Linked DNA regions of Elephas maximus indicus. The protein of the gene in region 2 purifies or fractionates together with the protein of the main gene of each other region. This does not show direct contact. Links are inferred from orthologs where the notes say so. Each region holds a gene or a part of one and is shown on either strand. Other genes may lie near its edges.

What was found.
Region 1: the proteins of ZFC3H1 (region 2) and MPHOSPH6 purify together in Homo sapiens (affinity purification with mass spectrometry; 3 studies listed by BioGRID and IntAct, with this or other methods). This does not show direct contact. The link is inferred for Elephas maximus indicus from reciprocal best matches to the Homo sapiens genes ZFC3H1 and MPHOSPH6.

What each region holds. Positions count from the first base shown.
Region 1 is NC_064839.1:48,078,829-48,086,519, reverse strand, and holds the start of MPHOSPH6 (M-phase phosphoprotein 6), read left to right. Parts: upstream 1-4,669; 5' UTR 4,670-4,692; coding exon 4,693-4,743; intron 4,744-4,827; exon of another isoform or gene 4,828-5,074; intron 5,075-5,382; exon of another isoform or gene 5,383-5,453; coding exon of another isoform or gene 5,454-5,462; intron 5,463-7,691. UniProt on the Homo sapiens protein: RNA-binding protein that associates with the RNA exosome complex. Involved in the 3'-processing of the 7S pre-RNA to the mature 5.8S rRNA and play a role in recruiting the RNA exosome complex to pre-rRNA; this function may include C1D.
Region 2 is NC_064822.1:133,175,445-133,182,774, forward strand, and holds the start of ZFC3H1 (zinc finger C3H1 domain-containing protein), read right to left. Parts: upstream 3,009-7,330; coding exon 2,414-3,008; intron 113-2,413; exon of another isoform or gene 1-112. Other genes in the region: THAP2 (THAP domain-containing protein 2), read left to right, coding at 3,876-3,946. UniProt on the Homo sapiens protein: Subunit of the trimeric poly(A) tail exosome targeting (PAXT) complex, a complex that directs a subset of long and polyadenylated poly(A) RNAs for exosomal degradation. The RNA exosome is fundamental for the degradation of RNA in eukaryotic nuclei.

The sequences.
Region 1 (7,691 bases), on a different chromosome or scaffold from region 2:
TGCCCCAGAGTTTCCAAGGAGCGCCTGATGGGTTTGAACTGCCGACCTTTTGGTTGGCAGCCGTAGCACCTAACCGCCACGCCATCATGGTTTCCAAACAATTGCTGTGACTTGATAAATGACTGAATACAAGAGCAGAATGTATTACACTGCTTAGATTTTCAGGCTGGATGACCTGGAGTCACAATCTGTGTACAGCAGGCAATCACTAAATACTTGTCTAATGAATGACACAGGGAAGCAGGAAGAAGTACATTTTGTGAGAGGACAGATTTGATATTGCACATGAGTTTCCCAAGTGATAATCTAATTACTTGTACTCTGGGGCTGTCTCAACAGAACTCTCCTCTTTCCTGCCTTAAGTAGATACTTATCGTTGGTGTTGCTGTTTGGGCTATCGTGATTAGCTCTTGAATAACAGCATCCAATTTCTCTTTAAGGAACTACCTCTCCCCGACAGTGTGCAGTCTTGCCAGTACTGTCAATCAGATCTTGCCCTCCCTCAGCTAAGACTCCACTTTCTCCTGGACTTTGAAAATTTAAGTATCCTAAGAGCAAAGAGTCCTTGGGTGGTACAAACAGTTAATATGCTAAGCTGCTAAGTGAAAGGCTGGTGTCCACCCAGAGGCACCTTGGAAGAAGGGCCAGAGATCTACGTCTGAAAAATCAGCCATTGAAAGTTCTGCGGAGCACAGTTCTACTCTGACACACATAGAGTTGCCATGGGTCAGAGCTGACTTGATGGCAACTGGTTAAGGTTACCAGTTACCATCGAGTCCGTTCCAAATCATGGCGGCCCCATGTAGATTTCCAGGCCTTTCTTCTGAGGTACCTCTAGGTGGGCTTGAACCTCCAAGCTTTCAACTTGGCCTTGTACTCAGGCCTTCTCATCAATCCATGAGTGACTTGGTTTTTATTTATTCTTCTAATAAATTCTTTTTTTTTTTTTAATTTATTTAATAAGCCATTGTTGGTTTCTAGTACTTGAGAGGAAAACAAGTAATACCTAATATACCACCTTCATGATCTCCTTGCATAAGAGTTCTCCCCATCCCAGACTCCTTTCCTACTCTACTTTCCACACTGGGAAGACATGTATAAGCACTATAGTCTTTAAATCAATGCTGTCAAAAAAGAAAAAAAAAGTGCAAGCCCCACATATAATTTTAAATTTTCTAGCAGCCTCATTAAAAATAAGTAAAAGAAACAGGTGAAATTCATTCTAATACTGTTTTATTTAAACCAATATATCTACTGCTATTCAACATATAATTGATATGAAAAAATATTAATGAGTTGACATTTTATTTTTCATTTTGTCTTTCAAATCTGGTATTTTACACTTTACACAAACAAAAACCCACTGTCTTCCAGTCAATTCCGACTCATAGTGACACTATACAGTACATCTCAGTTTGGACGCCAAATTTTCAAAGGTTAAAGTGAAAGAAAGTCCTTCCAAAACAATAAAGTTGTGTATAACAAAAAATATTTTATACTGTTTTTAAAAATATAAATTAACAAAAATTAAAAATTGAGTTCCTCAGTCCCATTTCAAGTGCTCAATATCCACACTTGGCTAGTGGCTACTGCACTGGGCAGCATAGGTTTAAATATGATCTGCTCCAAGGGTGAAGAGACTTGGGAAAACCTTTCCTTAATGGATTCGATAGATGGCAGGTATTGTTGGCTTTCACACTTCCAACAACTTCCATTATTAAAGGACTCAGAATTGTGTGAAGACCTATTAGAAATATTCTTTCCACCGAAACGATGTTTCCTCGGCTGTATAACTAATGCAGGTTAACACATTATTGAGTGTGAGACCTATCCTTTCTGTTCTACAATTCAGTAACAAAGAGAGATCAAGGAGTTATCTTCTCTGTCAGGGAATTTAAAGGCTATTACACTATTACTCTTAAGTCACTTCTTGTTTACTACATTTTGATGAGCGAAAAGAGACTTTGGGGCTTAGTTTTTAACATAAGCATTTTCACTGCCAAATAAAATGTATAAATTTGAATGGCAGGTTGAAGAGTTTGACCTCTATCCCCCAGGCAAAAATGAGCTATTATAAGTTCTGGAGCAGGTGAGTGATATGATAAAATCAATGTTTCAGAAAAATCAATCAGAATCCAATATGCAGGTAGACTGGTAACAACAGAGGTCCATAAGAGGGGTGTGGAGCTTCTGGCATCCTTCAAAGGTTCACACATGTTCTTCTGTTGGGAACACCATTTTCCTCTTTAGAAGCTGACAAGACATATGCTCATCCTTCAAGAACAAGTTCAGAGTCACCTTAGTTTCTTGGAGGCAGACTGCAGACTGAGTCACTTCTTCACTTCTGCTCCCATAGCACTTCTTTCAAAATCCTGAACAGAACCCACAAGGCCCTGCCTGATTCAACCTCAGCCTTTCTCTCTAGTCCCATGTCCTGTGGAGTTCCCTTTCTGTCTCTCCATCTCTCCACTCCAGACACTCTTCTCTATTCCATGGGCTGAATAAGTACCTCCTGGCCTCAGGGCAGGAGTCCCTGGGTGGCACAAACTATTAAGCAAGCTGTAGCCTGAAGGTTGGCCATTCAAATCCACAGAGGTGCCTCAGAAGACAGGCCCCGTGATCTGCTTCCAAAAGGTCACAGCCTTGAAAACCCTATGAGGCACAGTTCCACTCTGCAACATATAGGGTTGCCAACTCAAAGAAAGGCAACTGGTTGAATTCTGGTTTGTCCTCAGGGCCTTCTTATACACAATTATCTAGGATTGAAAGGTCTTTTCCCAGGCTAATTTCTCTCCTTTCAGATCTCAGCTTAAATACCACACCTTTAGGGGAGTCCTTCCCTTTCCCAGGCCAGAATGATTAGCTGCCCTTGCTATACCCTCACTGTACTCCAGACTTTTCTTATAAGGCTCTTATCACAACTGTAATCTACAGCTGTTGCTCCCACTAGATAAACTCCATGACAACAGGAACTGTCTTGTTCTCATTTCAGGGCCATTGCAGTTGCTAGTCGATCCTTTTAGAACACTCTATCTCCAACTCTTCATACATTAGGGTTTTTTTTTTTCCTCTCAACTGTCAAGCCTTAGCACTATCGTTTGACAAGGACCATCCCAGATCAGCTCATCTAAAGTAACCCTAAAAGTCACTCAATCATAGCACCCTATTCCATTGTACTCACCACTTATTTATGTCCAGAATGTCAGCTCCAGGAAAGACAGGTCATGTGCTTTTACTCACTATTGTACCTCACACATTAGCACGATGTCTGACACACAGTTATGAATGAATGTGGTTCGGTATCCACTTACCAAATCAGATTGCATTTATTTACTCCACTGAGGTAACCTGCAAGTCAGAGCCGTATTTTTATCAGCAACATTCAAAAAACTATTTAAATCTCAGCTCTAACACTTTATTAGCTGTGTGGCCTTGGGCAAGTCCCTTCACCTCTCTGGGTCTCAGGTTCCCTAACTATATCATGATGATAACAATATCTTCTTCAGAGTTCTTATTAGGATCCAATTAAAAAAAAAAAAAATTACACACGAGGTACCCAGCACAAGAGTATGGTATATAATGCACGTCGCTATGAGTCGGAATCGACTCGACGGCACTGGGTTTTTGTGGGTATTTGCTGAAATGCTATTAGGTTGGGTGATGTTTTCCAAAGTGTGGGACCTGCCAACAGTGTGAAAGATGCCTTTAGGTGGTACAAACAGCATAAATTAAGAGCATTATAACTGTTGTTAGGTGCCGAGTCGATTGTGACTCCTAGCTGCCCGATAGGGGTTCCTAGGCTGTACTCTTTACTGAAGCAGTTTGCCAGGCCTTTCTTCCACAGAGCAGCTGGGTGGGTTAGAATCTTAACACTTTGGTTAGCAAAGGTCAGCAGCCAAGAGCTTAACCTTTGCACTACTGGGCTCCTTCGCATTATAACTTTCCCTTTTCAACGTTCTTACAATTCTTTAGATGAAAACCAGGTCTTCTTGTGCTCCTGAGTCTAACATCTGTCATCTTCCCCATCTGTTGCTATCGCTCTTTAGCAAAGAGATCGTTTAGGGAGAACAACAGTTAATAAAGGAACCTAACATTGTTTTTCATCTTATTTGTTTGCATAGTGGTTAAGAGCCATTCTGGAGTCAGACTGCCTGGGTTTACACCCACCTCCCTCACTCAGTTACTTCAGACTACTTAATGAACCTCCTGACACCTCAGTTTACCCAACTGCAACAAGGGAATGATATCCACCTCACAGGGTTAGTTTAAACGTAAAATGAACTATTAGATGGAAAGTGGTCCAGAACACAGTAAGCCTAAGACCCCTGTTAAATAACAACGGTCCAGGACGTGGGGCAGGGAGGGGTCCCTGAGGCGGGCAGCCCTGAGACCCTGAGGAACGCACCCTTCACTCGCGTGTGGGGACCTCAGCTGCGGGCCAGGCTCTCTCTCGCGCTCGTCTGATTTCGTGCTCTTTGGGGTCTCCCCATGGCATTTAAGCTGCTCTCACCCTAGCGTCGGCGGGCAGCACGACGCTCCTTCAGCAGATGACCGTCCCACAAGGGACTGACGAAGACCCAGATTGCGCTGGAACTCGAGGGACGGGGCGGAGCCATGGGGGGGGGAACGCCGCGTTACGTAAGACGCCGCCACGCACGCAGCGCACGGAGCACGGCGCTGGGCTGGGGCAGCATGGCGGCCGAACACAAGACCAAGTTGTCCAAGAACCTGCTGCGCATGAAGGTGCGGGGACTTGGGGCGGGCTGGGGTAGGGGCACCTGGTCCTCCGGGCCTGGCCGGGGCCGAGGCGGTGTGCGTACGGGAGGTGCCGGCAAGGCCTTGGGGGACCCCCAGCTTTCGCGTTCATTCATTCACTTAGCACCAGCTCTGCGTTAGGCGCCGGGAATCAGATTGTGAATGAGGCCGACTCTTGAAACCCGCTGTCGGATACGGGAGACAGACGCTTAAACAAGGAGAATACAGCGTGCTAAGCGTAGGACGGTGGAAGTGTCCGAAGCCGGGGGAACTTACTTGGAATTCTCGCGGAAAGTGGCCCTTCAGTAGAGACTGAAGGGTAAGCAGAAGGTGGTGAGCATAGACCTGAGCTGAGGGAGAGGCGTGAAGGAGTGTTAGAAATCTGAGAGGCACGAAAAATAATCTTTTTCCTCCCTAGAAACCAAAGATAAATCAGTGATACAGCTGGAGGGAAAGTACCGAGCAGTGAGGCTGGGGGTGAAGGCAGCGTTAATAGCCATGGCACTTTAGTTGAGGTTAAGGATTTTTTTTTTTTTGCCTTAAGAGCAGTGGAAAGCTATTGAGCGCAGGGAACAGTATCATTGGCTGTGCTTTTTACTTTTAAAGGTTACTTTAACTGCCCTGTAGGGAATGCATTGGTGGAAGGAAGGCCTGACAGAAGACACAGTTGCAGTCTGGAAGACGAGTTAAAAGTTCTGATGGTCCAGGTGAGGGTTGATGGTTACCAGAATGAGTGCAGTGGTGGTGGGAATGGAAAGAATGTTAATAGTTGAGGTGAAAGTGAGTTATGTCACCCAGCTTTAAGCAAAATTGATTTTTAGAGTTGAGATTGAAGTCATCTTAACCCAAGAATTTCAAAATGGAAAAAATAACAAGGGTAGATAAAATGTGTACAGAAATCGAGATGGGCAAACAAAGAAGACTTAAAACATAAATAATAATAACGAGCATTTTTAGTCCTTACTATGTCCCAGGCAGTATCCTGAGTGCTTTTCGTATATTAACCCATTTAATCCTGACCATAACCCACTGAGGTGGTACAGTTGTCATTATTCCTCTTTTACAACTGAGGCAAATAAAACAGAGAAGTAAGTAACTTGTCTAAATTTGCATCGCTAGTAAGTAGTGTACACAGGACACAAACTCAGGCAGTCTGCCTCCAGAACCCGTTTAAATCACTATACTTCTTGTCACTGAACACTCATTATTGTTAGATGGGTACCTGGCTGTCTCAAATGGTTAAGTATTCAGCTACTAACTGGAAGGTTGGCAGTTCGAACCCACCCAGAGGCACTTGAGAAGACAAGCCTGGAGATCTGCTTTCAAAAGGTCACAGTCTTGAAAACCCTATGGAGCAGTTTCTACTCTGCACACATGGGGTCACCACGAGTTGGAATTGGCTCAGTGGGAACTAACAGCAACAAGATTTTGGAGAAGTTGAATGTGTTGAGAGCAGAAATTTGAAAACATTTTAGAAGTTGTTTTGGCTCTTAGAATAGGCCGGATGAATATGTACTAGGTGTTTAGGGCTCAGATCAGAGATATGACTGTGGAGTTAGGAAGGAAGAAATTAATTTTAAGAAAAAATTATCCACTCCCACCCAAATGGCTGGGATTGGAGACTTAATTGAACATTGAAAGCAAAGGAAAAGGGAGAAAGTTACCCAGGTTTTTCAATTTGGGTTAGCAATTTTGATTGTTGACAAGAAGGAACTTACCCACGGGATTGCAAGAGAAACTTTACGTAGAGTGTCCTGTGAAAATAAGTGGAGCAGCTACAGACTCAGGATCCAAAGTTCAGCCAAAGCTAAGTATGGAGCATAGATGAGAGGATTGAAGAGTTAATCCTGACTCATTTGTTGTTAGATGTACTTGAACTCCTCTGATTTGGTCAGCATTTGGGGACTGGAGGTGTAAAAGTGGAGTGGGGCGTCATACCTCCTCATCTAACTTCACAAGGGGGGAGGAGAGTCATCAGCATTAATAGCCCAAGGCTGATTGCTATGAGCTGGAGGTCAGATATACCACCCTTCAACCTTTTTACCAATTCTGACACCAGCCATCCCTCCCGCAATACTCTGTGCTTTTTTGCTGGGTTTGATAATTCATTGCAATGGCCACACACAGCTCACAGACCATATTCACAGTTATGGGGTTCATTAGGGAAGTAACAGGTTACAAATCAGGATCAGGAACAACTCAGGATACAGTTCTTTGGTCAGGACAGCTTTTCAGCTGTGCCCACAGGACGGCCTCTCCCTCAGCCCCTGGGCCTCTCCTCTGCCCTTCTCCAACAAGCTCTGCTGATAGGTTCCCAGAGGCACCCCACTCCGCCAGAAAATCTTCTGCCTGAAGGCATTCATCTCTCACTCCATAGGTTGGTGAACCTAGCTTCTCTGACCCCACTCCGCCAGGTAACCTCCTGCCAGAAGGCACTCAGCCTTCTCACTCCATGGGTCAGGACACCCACTGTAGCTGCCTTATTCTGTGGGCTTCAGCCGACCGCTCCGTCTCCTGGGTCTTCTGCCGCCATTTCTCTGCAACAGCTTCTCACCATGTCACGCTGTCTCTGGTGGAACAGCTCTCTTTCTCTCTCTCTTGCTTTCTCTCTCCTGGGTATAGGACAGTATCAGTGCAGAGACCCCAGGTCCAAAGGACATGCTCCCAGCTCTTCTTCTTGGTGTTAGTGATATTCCCTCTCTGTTCTGGGATTGGCTCTCTTATAAGCCTAGCGTGATTCCAAAACTGACCAATCCCTTTGTTACATCTTATTTGTATGGTCCTGAGAGCTCAGCTGCTAACCTAAAGGTTGGCAGCTCAAATCTACCAGCCACTTGTTGGAAACCCTATGGGGTAGTTTTACTCTGTCCTGTAGGGTCACTATGAGTTGGAACCAACTCAACAGCGCCTAACAACAACTCCCACAATGGTGCCAT
Region 2 (7,330 bases):
GTTTTATCACTTCAAATTCCTTTTGATGTCAAAGTTGTACTTAGTTTAGTTCATACTTCCACTGCATGATCATAATAATGATATTTTAATTTTACAACTATTGAGTTAAAAAAAATTAGGAATTATTTTGTAACTTATTTCCACTTCCCTTCTAGATTATGGAAGTAAGTCACAGAACAACTCTATTGCAATATCTGTAAAATCAAAATGTCATTATTATGGTCATTCAGTGGAAATATGAATTAACTAAGTACAACATTCATATCAATGGAATTTGAAGTAATAAAGCTTTGTATTACAAATTTTATTTGCTCATGATATACAAAAGAGGCTGGGAACTATGTTTTCCTTCTTAAGTTCTTACAAAGAACACTACCTCTAGGCTGGATTAGTGATACTTCACCAGGAAACTAATGGGCAGGAAATCAAAACAAGCATCCTTTTTTAACAGCCGCATCTGCAAAAAGAAAAACAGCAAGATAGCTCACTTCTGAGAAGTTACAAGTCAATACATTGTAAAAATGAACATCCTTTTAAAATTTCAAAATATGTTCAGTAAGTTTAGTTCACCTCATTCTCTCAACATTCTTAGCTGTTATCCCAAATTTTAAAAATTAAGATTAAAAAACTGAAATCCAACAAAGTTAAATAACTAGCCCAAAGTCACACAGGCAGGCTGGATATTTTCCTGTACTTTTTCTCATCACATGGCTGTTCAATAAAAACACATAAGCTTGACAATTGGCAAAGGTATGACAAAGGCCCAAACTGTTATTGAATGAATGAACATAACTGCATACAGAAAAAGGGACAAAGGCATGAGGTAAGCAAGCCCACTCATCACCCCCTTATCTAATACAGAAAATACGTTTAAAAGTTTTGAACTCTCACAGTACTTCTTACACACCTCAATTTGAACTTTTTACACAAAGCTGTATTTATTTACATTTGTCTCCCCAACACAAACTACAAGTTTTATCTCTGTATCTCAAAAAGAAAAAAAAAAAGCACACACACACATTATATGCTTAAATAGCTCATCTGTGTTCAGGTTCAGAATTAACTGACAAAGCCATGTGGGCAGAGGTTTTCCAACCTTATTAAAAAAAAATCTTCTGTCTTTTAAAAAGATAAGTATCTACATGATTTTCTCTGAAACAATCCTGGAATACACCTAACCCAACTTTTGGTTGTAGAAGTAAGTTTTTTCAAAGCACTAGAAACAGAAGTTGCTGTTTCTTTCCTGAATATATGTTTTTACATCATGACATCATGACATGTGGGGAGGACCATCTTGCGCCTAAGTATTCCATAAAAATGACTCTGAGTGTCTTACAAATGTTATTAGTACACACTTCATATATAATAAATACAGAAAAAAAGCATTACACCACGGAAATTACATCCAGTGATGAATGAGCTTAGTAAACTACTTTTATGCAGTCCTCACAGAATAAGTCAAGACACAGTTCTCCAAACTCATCATAAAACAGCAAACCCTCAGATGATTTATTCCTCCGATAACTACTCAGTAAACTCCCTAATGTTAACGATGTCTAAGGATGAAACTAGAGGAGGTATAAATCAGATATTTTGGTATTTTGCTTCTCAACCTCTCCACCCTCCATACCCACTCCCACCCCCCATGGCTTGTAATATATTAAAATAAAAATGCTGCTAAATTTATTTTTCACTCTCTGGTTCACATTTGAGTTATATCTAAAAAGTGAACATAGGAAAAAGACGTTAAGGAGGTGAAACTTTCCAAAAAGATACATGTCATTCAGGTCTGAATTAATCCACTTGGTTAAGGTACCAGGTCTTTTTTTTTTTAACCACTTTAAAAGGCAGCAAAACCAAAAAACCAAACCCGCTGTCATCGAAAAGGCAGCAATGGTGAAAAATAAAGCAAGAAAAGTAAAAACAGAGTCACATGTAGGAAAGTAAGCTTATGCAGAAAAAACTTGACATTTTCAATGTCTGAAGTGCACTGTGACATAACCAACAGTATTTCCCAAAACTGTTTTATTTTTTTCCCCTCCAACAATCCAAGTCAACTTCACATAAAACTCAAAATTCCTGTATCAGCAAAAACAAATGCTAATGAAACGCAGACTTGTGACATACTATTATAAACCTGATTGTAGACTATCTTCGAGTCCACTAGTTTGGCCCCAATCCATAATACGTAAATATTAAACAAGCAATCTACCCAATAAAACAATCTTAAGAAACAACACAATAGTGTGGCACACGGAAATTAACAAACAAAAACTTACTTTATATCGACACATTGACAAATAAGCGGTTCTGATGGTTCAGGAAAGTTACACTCATTTCACAGACTTAGTAATGACGCTAAAGGGAACTTTAGGAAGTGACACACCCAGGCAGACCGCCACGTTAAGGATACAACTCTTCCGAGGTGGAGAAGACTCTCGCCAGCTCTGACTGCTGCTGAATCCGGAACCCGTTCCTCCTCCCAGGGGAGGTCGGCCCCCCGGCTTGCCTCCTCGCTCACCCCCTCCTCGTCCCCGACTCCAGCGACTCCCACCCCGATAAGGCCTGCCTCTAAAGCGGAAACGGTCCAAGGCGATGTGGCTCCGCTCCCAGAAGGACGGTCGGGGACTGCTTTCGGACAGGGAGCTCGAAGGCATCCGCACAGAAGGCGGGTGAGACCGGAACGGCTCTTTGGGTCGGTAGCTGCTGTGTCCCCTGAGGTGGCCCCGCTCCGAAGGGTGCCGCGAGCGTGAGAAATTCCTCAGCTGCTGTTGAGAAGAGCACGACGATGAGGAGGAGCCACCGCCTCCGCCGGATCCACCACCCCGGGTCGGGTGAGGCCTTCGCCGCGAATAAGGTAACAGCCCACCGCCACTGCTGCTGCTGCTACTCCGGCTCCGGATCTGGCTGTTATTATCGTCGTCGCTAATCTCCCCATCTTCTAGCTCCCCTTCCTCCTTGGGCGAGAGGCCGCTGGAGGCCGGGGCCGGAGTGTCTGCGGTCGCCATCCGGGGAGCAGTGCCTTCCACACAACCTTAGCCCTTCGTCCGGGGATCCGCCCGACAAGTGCCTTCCTCCTCGCCTCCCTTTCTTCCTAACGGACCCGGTCGGTGCGGCCTTACCCTACTCGGACACCTAGCGGGCTCTGCTCCCCAACTTCCCCGCACCCCAGCTCTTTCTCGCCGGACCGTCGCAACCCAGATCCCTTCCCTAGCGCCCCCTGGCTTCTCCGCGATCTGAGCTCTTCCGCCTGCCGAGAAAGGGGCTCTGGAAGTGGCTATGCTCGCAACGTCACTTCCTGCGACACGCAGGAAACAAGACTGCCTATCAACGCGATAATACGAGGACTTCGCGATGCTCGGTGGGATTTGGAGTATTTCTGTCCTCGCTGCACGGCTTCGTCCTTTCCGCATGCTGCTGACAGCTCTGCCAGACTCAGGAATGGGTCTGTTGGGTACGTGCCAGGGTGGGCGGGCCTGTTGTTAGTTACGCCCTTGAGGGAGCTTCGTAGTAATCGGAGGAGGAAGCACCTCCTCCTTGGATTGCTCGGAGGACTGCTGCCAAAGACACGGCCTTGTCGTACTTCTTTTTTGCCTACTGCGGGAGGGGGCGGGTTGTAGCCGCCATGTTGGTGAAGGCATACGAAGGCGACTGGAGCTCCAGGATGGTCGACTCTGATAGCTCCAGCCCGCCATCTTAATAAAGAGAAAGGGAAGGTTGGGCTTTCCCCACACCCCACACACACCCTTTCTCCCACCCTGTTCCCTCGGTGGACCCTTACTCTGCCTCACTTGCTCAGCCTCTGCCCTCAGAAAACATAGCCGCTATCGCCTCAGAACAGGCTTAAGACAACGCCGAATGAGGGGTAAAGGGAAATGCCGACCAATTGCGCCGCGGCGGGCTGTGCTGCCACCTACAACAAGCACATTAACATCAGCTTCCACAGGTAACCAGGGCAGGGAGTGGGGGTGAAGGAGACGGGAGCACCTAGTCTAGGTGTCATTTGTGTGAAAGGCACTGGAGGATCCCCCTTTCTACTGATAACTTCACTACCCAGCTAGTAGCAGGGAAGCATCATATTTGCCTTTTGTGTGTGTATTTTGCAAATCTGCAAAATTTTTCTCTCCCTTCGGGGAAGGTTTACCCACTTTCTGAAAAACACCCAAGTACCGTGCGATGATTACCTCTTAAAGTGACAGGAGGATATCTTAATTTTTCTATTCTTTTACTCCTTTATATTAGGATGGTCCTTGACACAAATGACGCCATGAGAGAGAGAGATCTTCTTGTGCAAGTCAGCAATCAAAGCCCACTGTGTTCTCATTAAAATTAGAAAATCGCTCACTAGCAGCATTGACATAGGAAGCTTTTAGATTTATAATAGCCACACGCAGTCTCGCTGGAGGAATTTAGTCGTTGATAGATATGGACTTAAGCAATGTTAATGAAAGTGCAAAAGATAAGCTTTCTGTTACTACTACAGTGTAATAAAAAGAATCTGAGTTTTATTTTTCCTTCTCTTGCTGCAAGAGCAATCAAAATTCTTTAGTTCTCTCAATGAGAACTGTAGGAAAGAACTATTAAACATTGTCTGGAATATAACAGGTACTCTGTAAATGTTTACCTTCTTCTGAAGCGCCTGCCATGGGCCTGAAGAAAAGAAAAAGTGAAAAGAGTTGTGTTTATATACCTCTTAACATATCATTTAAGAATGTAGAAAATTTTACCTTTGACCTTTTCCCTAGCGCATTATTACTAAACGTACCCCATTATTAAAAGCTACCACTTAGAGAAAAAAAAAAAAACCCTTGAGATGTTTCTGTTTTTAAACTACTTCATGCAAATACAGTGCTTCGTTCGTTCATTCATTCATCAAATATGTACCGAGTTTCTAATTGCCTAAGATTATGCTAGGGATCCAGAAAGTTTAGAGTATAATGAGGCGAAAAGACATAAACAATTAAGTGCCACTGAAGAGACATTTAGGGAGACCTTTTTTTTTAATGGGGCAGTTCTACTTTATCTTATAGGGTCGCTATGAGTCGGAATCAACTCGACGGCACTGAATTTTTTTTTTTTTAACTTAACCTTGGAAACCCTGGTGGCATAGTGGTTAAGAGCTACAGCTGCTAACCAAAAGGTCAGCAGTTTGAATCCACCAGGCGCTTCTTGGAAACCCTGTGGGGCAGTTCTACTCTGTCCTGTAGGGTCACTGTGAGTCAGAATTGACTCGACGGCAGTGGGTTTGGTTTTTTGTTTTAACTTAGCCTTGGAAAACCAAAGAGCATTTCTCAAAAGATGTAAAATTTAAAATGAGACCAAAGGACAACATAAATTTGGTCTTCTTTTATCCTAAAAGCACTTGAGAAATCATAGTTTAAAAAAAAAAATGGCAAGATAAAATTTGCATATTAAAATGCCCTCTGGCTGCAGTGTGAAAAATTAAAGTGTTACTTAAAGTGCTGGTCAGACATCATTAGAAGATGAATTTGATAAGAAAGGAGCTTATTGTAGAATGTTAGTTTACCGATTGCTTCCTTCACAGGGAAATCCTGTTAGTAAGTCAGCTGAAATAAACAGTATTTTTATTTGCTGGCACAACCAGCACTGGATTAGAGGAGGTCTTAGGCTGGTTTCTCTAGAGGAACAAAAGCAGTGAAGTGAATATATAAACAAGGATTTATTTCTCAAATAAATGGCTCATGCAGTTGTGGAGGCTGGCAGGTCCCAAATCCTGGTTAAGAGGTATCAGGCTGCAGGCTTCTGACTCACATGGTTACAGGAGCTGATGAACCCAAAATCAGCAGGTCAGGCAGAAGGTTGCTGGCTTTCGTCCCAAGAACTGGAGGTCAGAGAATGACAAGTAGGATGCTGGATCAAGAGAGGGCGAGCTTTTCCACAACATCCATATATACTGGATGCAGGCCACACCCCCAAGGAAACTCCCCTTTCAACTGATTGGCTGTTCATATCAGATCACACAATAGAGAATGATTACGTAATATCTGTCAAACCACAGAGAATCATGGCCTGGCAAGTTGACACATAACCATAATCACAGTCCACCCCTTGCCAACTTGGCATCTGTACACATCTTAAACCATACATAATCTCTAAATAAAGACAATTATAAAGTCAGGTTGGCCTAACATGATACAACTAACATGTACAACTGAAACCACACCGGTTCTCTTTATGTCTTATATCTTATAGTAAGTAATAGAACAACGGAGGAAAGAAAAAGCATTTGCTGTATGCACACATATATAATAAAACAAGGAAGAAATACTCAAAACAATTACAGTCCTCGTTTCTGCAACTGGTGATATGGTCATAGCTGTTATTTAGACCAGTCTTCTTCTACCACCCCCTCCATATTCCCTATGCTCTCAGGCACTGCAGCTGGTTGTGGTTCTTTGCCTGGTGGGGTGACACAAACCTTCATTCCTAAAGGGTCTGGGCCATTACTAGTCACGTTGGAATTGGGTTGCTGTAGTTTTGCGTTTAATCACAAGGCATGGTAGCATTAAGAGACGTCCTAAGGAATCTCTTATTTTCCAGACATACTCTTCTTTGACTCCCATTATGTAATTCAACCCTATTTCCCCTTGATAATCGGGATTAATTACATCAGCCAATACGTAGCCCTTTGCCTGTTGATCCAGAGGCATTGGGAGCCCAAAGTGGCTGGGTGGCATTATTAACTTCCAGTTCAATCAAATCAGTGTTGTGTTTCCTGGTGGGAGCATTCCTTAACTAAGATCTCAACCTGTAGAGCATAGGGTCACAAGGTCAGGAACCTAACATTTTGCAAGTGTGTCACTAGGGGTAGTGGTAAGTAGTGCCACTCCCATTTCCATCCCTTGATTCCTAGACCCAAGAATCCTGGCTATGGGAGAAACACCACCATATATTGGGCACTGGTTTAGAGTGTATACAGCCTCCTGGAGAACATTGCCCCAACCCTGCAAGGTATTGCCACCTAGCTGGTACCATAATTATGTCTTTAGAAAGCCAGCTGCTTCAGGGTAATAGGGAACATGGTAAAACCTGTTGCCATTGAGCCAGTTCTGACTCATAGCAACCCTACAGAACAGAGTAAAACTGCCCCATAGGGTTCCCAAGGAGTGGCTGGTGGATTCGAACTGCTTTTGGTTAGCACCTGAGCTCATAACCACTGCACCATCAGGGCTCCATGAGCATGGGCCCATTGCTGGACTTCATTTGCTGTGAAGTGAGTTCCTTCATCCGAGGCAATGCGTGGTGGATAAGGCATTCTTTCAGTCCACAGATGTTAGTTTTGGCAGAAGCATTGCGTGCAGGAAAGGCA